Linked DNA regions of Ovis aries. Each later gene encodes a partner of the first gene's protein in a complex. Links are inferred from orthologs where the notes say so. Each region holds a gene or a part of one and is shown on either strand. Other genes may lie near its edges.

What was found. The genes of interacting proteins can lie anywhere in the genome.
Region 2: TAF10 (region 1) and TAF13 share a complex: the UniProt entries of both Homo sapiens proteins name them as parts of the TFIID basal transcription factor complex. The link is inferred for Ovis aries from reciprocal best matches to the Homo sapiens genes TAF10 and TAF13.

Annotation. Positions count from the first base shown.
Region 1 is NC_056068.1:46,195,625-46,198,958, forward strand, and holds TAF10 (transcription initiation factor TFIID subunit 10), read left to right. Parts: upstream 1-1,332; 5' UTR 1,333-1,357; coding exon 1,358-1,589; intron 1,590-1,727; coding exon 1,728-1,882; intron 1,883-2,118; coding exon 2,119-2,183; intron 2,184-2,271; coding exon 2,272-2,386; intron 2,387-2,569; coding exon 2,570-2,659; 3' UTR 2,660-2,740; downstream 2,741-3,334. Other genes in the region: ILK (integrin-linked protein kinase), read right to left, coding at 2,971-3,120, 3,290-3,334. UniProt on the Homo sapiens protein: The TFIID basal transcription factor complex plays a major role in the initiation of RNA polymerase II (Pol II)-dependent transcription.
Region 2 is NC_056054.1:86,377,824-86,382,201, reverse strand, and holds the start of TAF13 (transcription initiation factor TFIID subunit 13), read left to right. Parts: upstream 1-1,567; 5' UTR 1,568-1,611; coding exon 1,612-1,638; intron 1,639-2,433; coding exon 2,434-2,512; intron 2,513-4,378. UniProt on the Homo sapiens protein: The TFIID basal transcription factor complex plays a major role in the initiation of RNA polymerase II (Pol II)-dependent transcription.

The DNA.
Region 1 (3,334 bases):
TTTCAAAACTCAGCTCACCTCTTGTGAATCTTTTGGCTCCCTGAAGCTAGTTGATGTGGGTATGACAGAAAAGTCCTAGATTCTTGGTTCTGATATAGACTAGAGAGAGCCTGGGGGAAGTAAGTTCAACTCTTGGAGACTTTTTCCTCATCTGTTAAGTGAGGATATTGATACCTGCCTCTAATATTCAGGAAATCATTAAGTGGAATAAACTTAATGGAATGCCTAACACACAGATGTAGGCAGCAACTATTAGTTCCCTTCCTCCCTTGCACTGCACACCCTGTGTCTACCTCCAGTATTTTAACTCCCATATATTGGTGAAATGGCAAGTTTAACTGTTAATGCCTCCCTTTGCAAGACCACTGGTGCCCGGAGGAGTAGAACCTTCTCCTACTTAACTCTGTATTTGCAGACCCTAGCTCAGGACTGACAAAAATAAATTTTTGCTGTGTTGAAAACCCCACTCTTTCACTAGCCGTGATTTTACATAAATTGTTTATTAAGACTGAAAGACAGCCATCCCTCTGTATCCTCGGGTTCTCCATCCACAGATTCACCCAACCGTGAACTGAAGATATATATATTTTTTAATTCCAATTATAAAAGACGAAACTTGAATTTACCATGCACCAGTAAACTATTCACATCGCATTGGATATTATAAGCAATCTAGAGATTATATAGAGTATACAGTGCAAATACTATGCCATTTCATATAACGGACTTGAGCATCCACGGATTTTGGTATACATGGGTTGGGGACGGGAGTCGGGGGAGTCCCGGAACCAATCCTACCAACCCTTCACCACCTATACGGACGGTGGACTGTACCTCTCTCCCCATCTGCAGCAGCACTGTGTCAGCTGTCCGGTTACCTTCACTTTGGGCAGCTGGCGGGGAAAGAGGCTATTCAACTCCACTACAAACCCTTAAAAGGCTGGATAAAGGAACTTAGAAAAGATGCAGACACGCAGGCGACCAACAGTAGAGAGGTGTCGGGGCGATGAGCATCAAAGCAAGAATTTTAGACGTCAGGCTGGGTGAGGGGGCCTCAAGCCCATAGAAGAGAATCCTCGACATTGAGGGGTTCCCATCCCAGCGGATCCACACTGGAGAACCGCGGGTCCGGACGCGAAATGTCCGCGCCAGCCCAGTTCCGCAACACTTGGTCTCCGCCCTCCCGCCTTTGTCAGGTAGCGGCTGGATGGGCGGGGAATAAAGGAAGGAGGCCTAAGGGAGGAGCGAACGTGGCGTGGGAGGAACGAGTCGTGGGGCGCGTGACGTCACCCCTGGTGTGTGCGTAAGGTGAACGGAAGCGGAAGCGGCTCTGTTCGCCGCCTCTCCCACCGGCCCGATGAGCTGCAGCGGCTCCGGCGCGGACCCCGAGGCGGCGCCGGCCTCCGCCGCCTCGGCCCCGGGCCCGGCGCCCGCGGTCTCGGCCCCCGCCGCGCTGCCCGCCGGCACCGCCGCGGAGAACAAGGCCAGCCCCGCGGGGACGTCAGGGGGGCCTGGGGCTGGAGCCGCGGCAGGGGGCACTGGAGCCGTGGCGGCGCGGGCCGGGGAGCCTGCCGAGCGGCGCGGGGCGGGTGAGGGCCGGGACGGGTGAGGGCGAGGGCCGCGCTTTGGGCTGGGCCCAGCGGCGGGTGAGGGCAGAGGGTAAGACACACCTAGCGGAACCCTCGAGCCTCCCACCTCCGTGTCTCAGTTTGCTGGTTTTCCTCCAGCTCCAGTGACGACCGGCGGCGCGGCGCCCCCGGAGGGGGCCATGTCTAACGGGGTTTACGTGCTGCCAAGCGCGGCCAACGGAGAGGTGAAGCCAGTGGTGTCCAGCACGCCTCTAGTGGACTTCCTGATGCAGCTGGAGGATTACACGCCTACGGTGGGCTTCCTGCCTGAACAAGGCTAATGACTCGCTGTCACGCCAACTTCTGCCACACCATCTGGATTTGCAGCATCCTCTTGTGTTTCTCTTCCTAGCTTTTGTGATTTTTCCCTTCTGCCCACCCAAACTGGGAGCTTCCTGATAGCCAGGCCTGCCCTCCATTTCCCTTACCCCGACTCTCAGCCCCGCTGTACACAGGGCTAACGCTTACAGTCGTCTAATTGATTTCTCAGATCCCTGATGCAGTGACTGGTTACTACCTGAACCGTGCTGGCTTTGAGGCCTCCGACCCACGCATGTGAGTAAACTCTGGGCAGGTTAGAGTGTTGGGTGTTTGTGTGGAGTTTATTGTCTATGCTCTTCTCATACCATTTTTTTCTCTCCAGAATTCGGCTCATCTCCCTAGCTGCCCAGAAATTCATCTCAGATATTGCCAACGATGCCCTACAGCACTGCAAAATGAAGGGCACAGCCTCTGGCAGCTCCCGAAGCAAGAGCAAGGTGTGAGGGGAGGCTCATTGATTCAGTAATTACTTCCTACAGCAGCAGAGGCTTAAATTATCCTGAAACCCCTTTGAGGGAAATTAAGCCTTAGGGGAGGTGAAAGACCTACTCAGGGTCACCTGCCTGGGATTGAAATCTGGAATTCCTGTGTTCAGCTGGTGCTCTTCCCTCTTCCCTCAGGACCGCAAGTACACTCTAACCATGGAGGACTTGACCCCTGCCCTCAGCGAGTATGGCATCAATGTGAAGAAGCCGCACTACTTCACCTGAGCCACCCAGTCTAAATGTACTTGTCTGTTCTCTTGTCCCCACACCAGCCTGTTTTCATAATAAACTTTATTGTGACAGGCAGGGCTGATCCCTCCCATGCTGGGAGACACCGTGTGGCAAGTGACAAAGCTTTGAGCCCATTCCCTTTTGGGGCCACAGTGGTAGGGATGGGGGCAGGGGATGGGCCCCATGGCTGGGGTAGTACCATGACTAGTGGCAGGGGAGGCAACCAGAGGCCTACTGCTTTGGGGAGGTGCACTCCCCTAACCGTGTCCTGACACCTCTGGAGTTCAGATAAGGACTTTCCAGCTCTACTTGTCCTGCATCTTCTCCAGGATAGGCACGATCATGTCAAACTTGGGCCGCTTAGCAGGGTCTTCATTCATGCAGATCTTCATGAGTTTACAAACGTGGGGGGAAATGCCTGGTGGGATGGTAGGCCGAAGGCCTTCCAATGCCACCTGCAAACACAAGGAAAAACAAGGTGAGTCTCAGAACTTGAGTCTCATGTCGGGAGAGACGTCTAGCCCTCAGGACAGGATTCTGTGTATTTGAATCAATGTGGCAGGAGCCCAGCCCCACTACAATTATTGTCACTACCACCACAAGTATATCCAGTTATGCTCTCACCTTCATTCCAATTTCCATGTTGGAGAGGTCAGCAAAGGGTACCTC
Region 2 (4,378 bases), on another chromosome or scaffold:
GCTTTATTGACTATGTCAAAGCCTTTGACTGTGTGTGTGGATCACAAAAAACTGAAAAATTCTGAAAGAGATGGGAATACCAGACCACCTGACCTGCCTCTTGAGAAACCTGTATGCAGGTCAGGAAGCGACAGTTAGAACTGGACATGGAACAACAGACTGGTTCCAAATAGGAAAAGGAGTACGTCAAGGCTGTAATATTGTCATCCTGCTTATTTAACTTATATGCAGAGTACATCATGAGACACGCTGGGCTGGAAGAAGCACAAGCTGGAATCAAGATTGCTAGGAGAAAATCACTAACCTCAGATATGCAGATGACACCACCCTTATGGCAGAAAGTGAAGAACTAAAGAGCCTCTTGATAAAAGTGAAAGAGGAGAGTGAAAAAGTTGGCTTAAAGCTCAACATTCAGAAAACTAAGATCATGGCATCCGGTCCCATCACTTCATGGCAAATAGATGTGGAAACAGTGGCTGACTTTGTTTTTGGGGGCCCCAAAATCACTGCAGATGGTGATTGCAGCCATGAAATTAAAAGACGCTTACTCCTTGGAAGGAAAGTTATGACCAACCTAGACAGCATATTAAAAAGCAGAGCCATAACTTTGTGAACAAAGGTTCGTCTAGTCAAAGCTATGGTTTTTCCAGTAGTCGTGTATGGATGTGAGAGTTGGACTATAAAGAAAGCTGAGCGCCAAAGAATTGATAATTTTGAACTGTGGTGTTGGAGAAGACTCTTGAGAGTCCCGTGGACTGTAAGGAGATCCAATCAGTCCATCCTTAGGGAGATCTGGCTGTTCATTGGAAGGACTGATGTTGAAGCTGAAACTCCAATACTTTGGCCCCCTGATGTGAAGGGCTGACTCATTTGGAAAGACCCTGATGCTGCGAAAGATTGAGGGCAGGAGAAGAGTACGACAGAGGATGAGATGGCTGGATGGCATCACCGACTCAGTGGACATGAGTTTGGGTAAACTCCGGGAGTTAGTGATGGACAGGGAGGCCTGGCGTGCTCTGGCTCATGGGGTCGCAAAGAGTCGGACACGACTGAGCGACTGAACTGAACTGGACTGCAGCCCGCCAGGCTCCTTTGTCCTTGGGATTTCCCAGGCAGGAATACTGTAGTGGTTTGCCATTTCCTTCTCCAAGGGATCTTCCCTACACAGAGATCGGACCCAGGTCTTCCACTGAAAGCAGATTCTTTACCATCTGAGTCACCAGGGAAGCCCTGGCAATAAATCATAGTGGAACTCTAAGTTGTTCAAATTGTTTAAATTCACCCCTGTCTAGCCCCTCAATGATCCAAAGCTTCACAGGACCGAATCAGGAAGCGGAGATCTGATACGCAGAAGAAAGCTCAAGGTGACAACGAGATACACGCCATCTAGCTCATCCCTTTTCTATGCTAATGTTTAATTCCTACTTTCCAAGACTTTATCCTTCGCTGTTCAGGTTTCACCGCTGGGCGGGAGGTGCTTGTTCCTCTTCCACAGGGGAGGTTCCGCTAGGCCCCGCCCCGGCCCCTCTCGTCACCGGAAATGAGGCAGCGGAAGTAGTAAAAAGCTCTCCGAGGAAGGCGGGCGCGCAGTGGAGGCGGCTGGCTGGTGGGATGGCAGATGAAGAAGAGGATCCCACCGTGAGTGACCGCCTCTGTTCCAACCTACTTTTTAATTTACTACCTCGAGCACAGTAGCGGAAGCATAGTGGAGAATTGGGTTTCTTTACCTCAGTGATTCTGCCGAGAGAATCGGGGACTTCTCCCCGGGCTAGCCTTTTTCTTCTGATTCATCCTTTTAGTAAGCGGGGCTGGAGGAGTAGGTGGCTCCCCGCCCTTTACCTTTGGTTCATATTTGCCAGATACCCTTTGAATCACCTAGAGAATCATCAGGGGGCAAAGCTAGTGTTTGTTAGGGCTCATTATGCAACAACAATTCAAGTGCTAAGAAAACTGTACACTTTACTGTAAAGTAGTGGAAAAATAATGGACTCAAGTCACTGAGCAAGTAATTGAGCCTCAGTTTTCATGTCATAAAATAGGCTTAAGGTTTACTTGAGGAAAGTTCTTAGCACTGTGTAGGAAATGCTTAACAAATACTAGTTTTGCTTGCTTTCATTCAATATCAACTCTTTTAATAGTAAAACTATCTAGAAATAGGCCAACTTAGTTTAAAAAAAGAATGTATGGTCGTTGGAACTCCCCCAGGAGAAGCAGTACGATGCCTAACGGGGCATTGTAGAAGCCACTCCTGCGTGAGTCTGAAGTTGGGCGAGATAGTTTTAATGCCCCCAAAATGCTAAAGTTTCATTGTTTTTTGCTGCTTGCTTTAGGCTTTCTGGCATGATACTGGTGTTGAAGATGTAAAAAAAAAAAAAGCTAATTATTAAAATGTCAGAAGCAGTGTTTGACATATCTATACGTTTTAACTTTCAGTTTGAGGAAGAAAATGAAGAAATTGGAGGAGGTGCAGAAGGTGGACAGGGTAAAAGAAAGAGACTTTTTTCTAAAGAATGTAAGTAGTACTTGAGAATGATTTTTTAATAGTTTCCTTGTAGGGACACTATTCTCAGACTTCCGTATAAATTCTGTTTAACCTGTGATTCATAGATAGTAATGATCCTAACCCCAATTTATATATTTAACCCCAATTTATATATTTATATATATGTGTGTATATATGGGCTCACACAGACATACGTTTTTAAATTTTTTAAGTAAATACATGTGATCAGTGTTTCAATTCAGGTCCCAAGTAAGAACGTACCTCCGTTACTTTACCTGTTCCTTACCTTTCATCAGTTGGAGCAGGGACTCCTTTGAATGTAAGCCGAAGGTTCTGTTGGACCCTGAACAGGTCTGAGGGTAGGAATTAAGTTGGGACTTTGAACTAAGGCAATGGACAAGGCAGGAAGATGGTGAACAATGTGAGGCAGTCCAGTGACATGGAGATCATAAAGTTTTGGGTCTATTCTCCTCCTTCAGTAGACGGGTTTGACCTTTTATGGCAGTGGCAAGAGGAGCTGATTCTATTACTGATGATTCAGGCCAGCCCCTGAAAGGCACCATGAGAACATGCTCTCCATCTTCCAGTCCTGGTCCTTTATACATAGTTATGGCTGAGTGTAGATCAGGCAACACATGGAACACTTGGTTTACTTATGCCAGTTCCGACATAAGCAGTTCCTAAATGCTCTTGAAACTACAGAGTCAAGTAGTTTGGTTTTTTAAGCCATTCAAATCCTTTCCTATATCTCAATTTCTCACCTAAAGTTGACTGCTCATTATTCCATTTCTGATGTTATTTACTCCATTCGTATATGGTTTTACGTCTTATGGAGACTTCCCTGTAGCTCAAACAGTGAAGAATCTGCCTGCGAGGCAAGAGACCAGGGTTCGATCCCTTGGTTGGGAAGTTCCTCTTGAGGAGGGAATGGCACTCCACTCCAGTATTCTTCCCTGGAGAATTCCATGGACAGAGAAGCCTGGCGGGCTACAGTCCTTGAGGTCGCAAAGAGTCGACACGACTGAGTGACTAACACAGTTACTTCTTAGGTAGGCATAAGAGGATTACTGCACCAGAGCATCGCATAGTGATGCTAGCATACTTCTTACCAGAGCCTTTGTTCCACTTGGATTTCTTTATTTTTATGATGACAAGAATTCGGAATCTTCACAGCTGTTTCTTTGTCTTACCTGAATTTTCATGTATCTTGACCAAGATCTGTTCTTCTAGACATTCTTTGTTTTAAAAATATTTTTTGCTAATATAACACAAGATTTCAAAGCATTCACTTCTCTATTTGTTTGTCTTTACAGACTCTTTAACCAAATACGGTTTACATACTTCCTATCTAATAAGTTTTTCCTTTTCCAGTGAAGTATGTTTCCCTACTGATGAATTCTCCCCATCACAATGTTAATGACAGTATTTTCCTCAAAATATTTAAGAGAAAATATTAAATTTATAGTGGAGAATCCAGTCCTGGCAGACATTACTTTAGTCAGGTGATCAAAGTTAGTATCACCAGTAATATATGTTGACATTAGGTACTCCTAATATGGTGCATTAAGGGGTCCATCATCACTCTGATTCCCTTCTAGTAATGCATAAGCACAACCTAATCATGAGGACACATCAGATAAACCGAAGCTGAAGGACACGCTACAAGATAACTGACCAGTATTCTTCAGAAGTGTCAAGGTTGTAAAAGACAAGGAAAGTTTGAGGAACTGTTACAGAACAGAGGAAACTAAGGAGACACGACAACTAGTGTGGGATCCTGGAACAGAAAAAGTACAGTAGTGGGAAAACTGGTGCAATCTGAGAAGTGCTGTACTTGTACCAGTGTTAGTTTCTTAGTTTTGATAAATGTCTTTG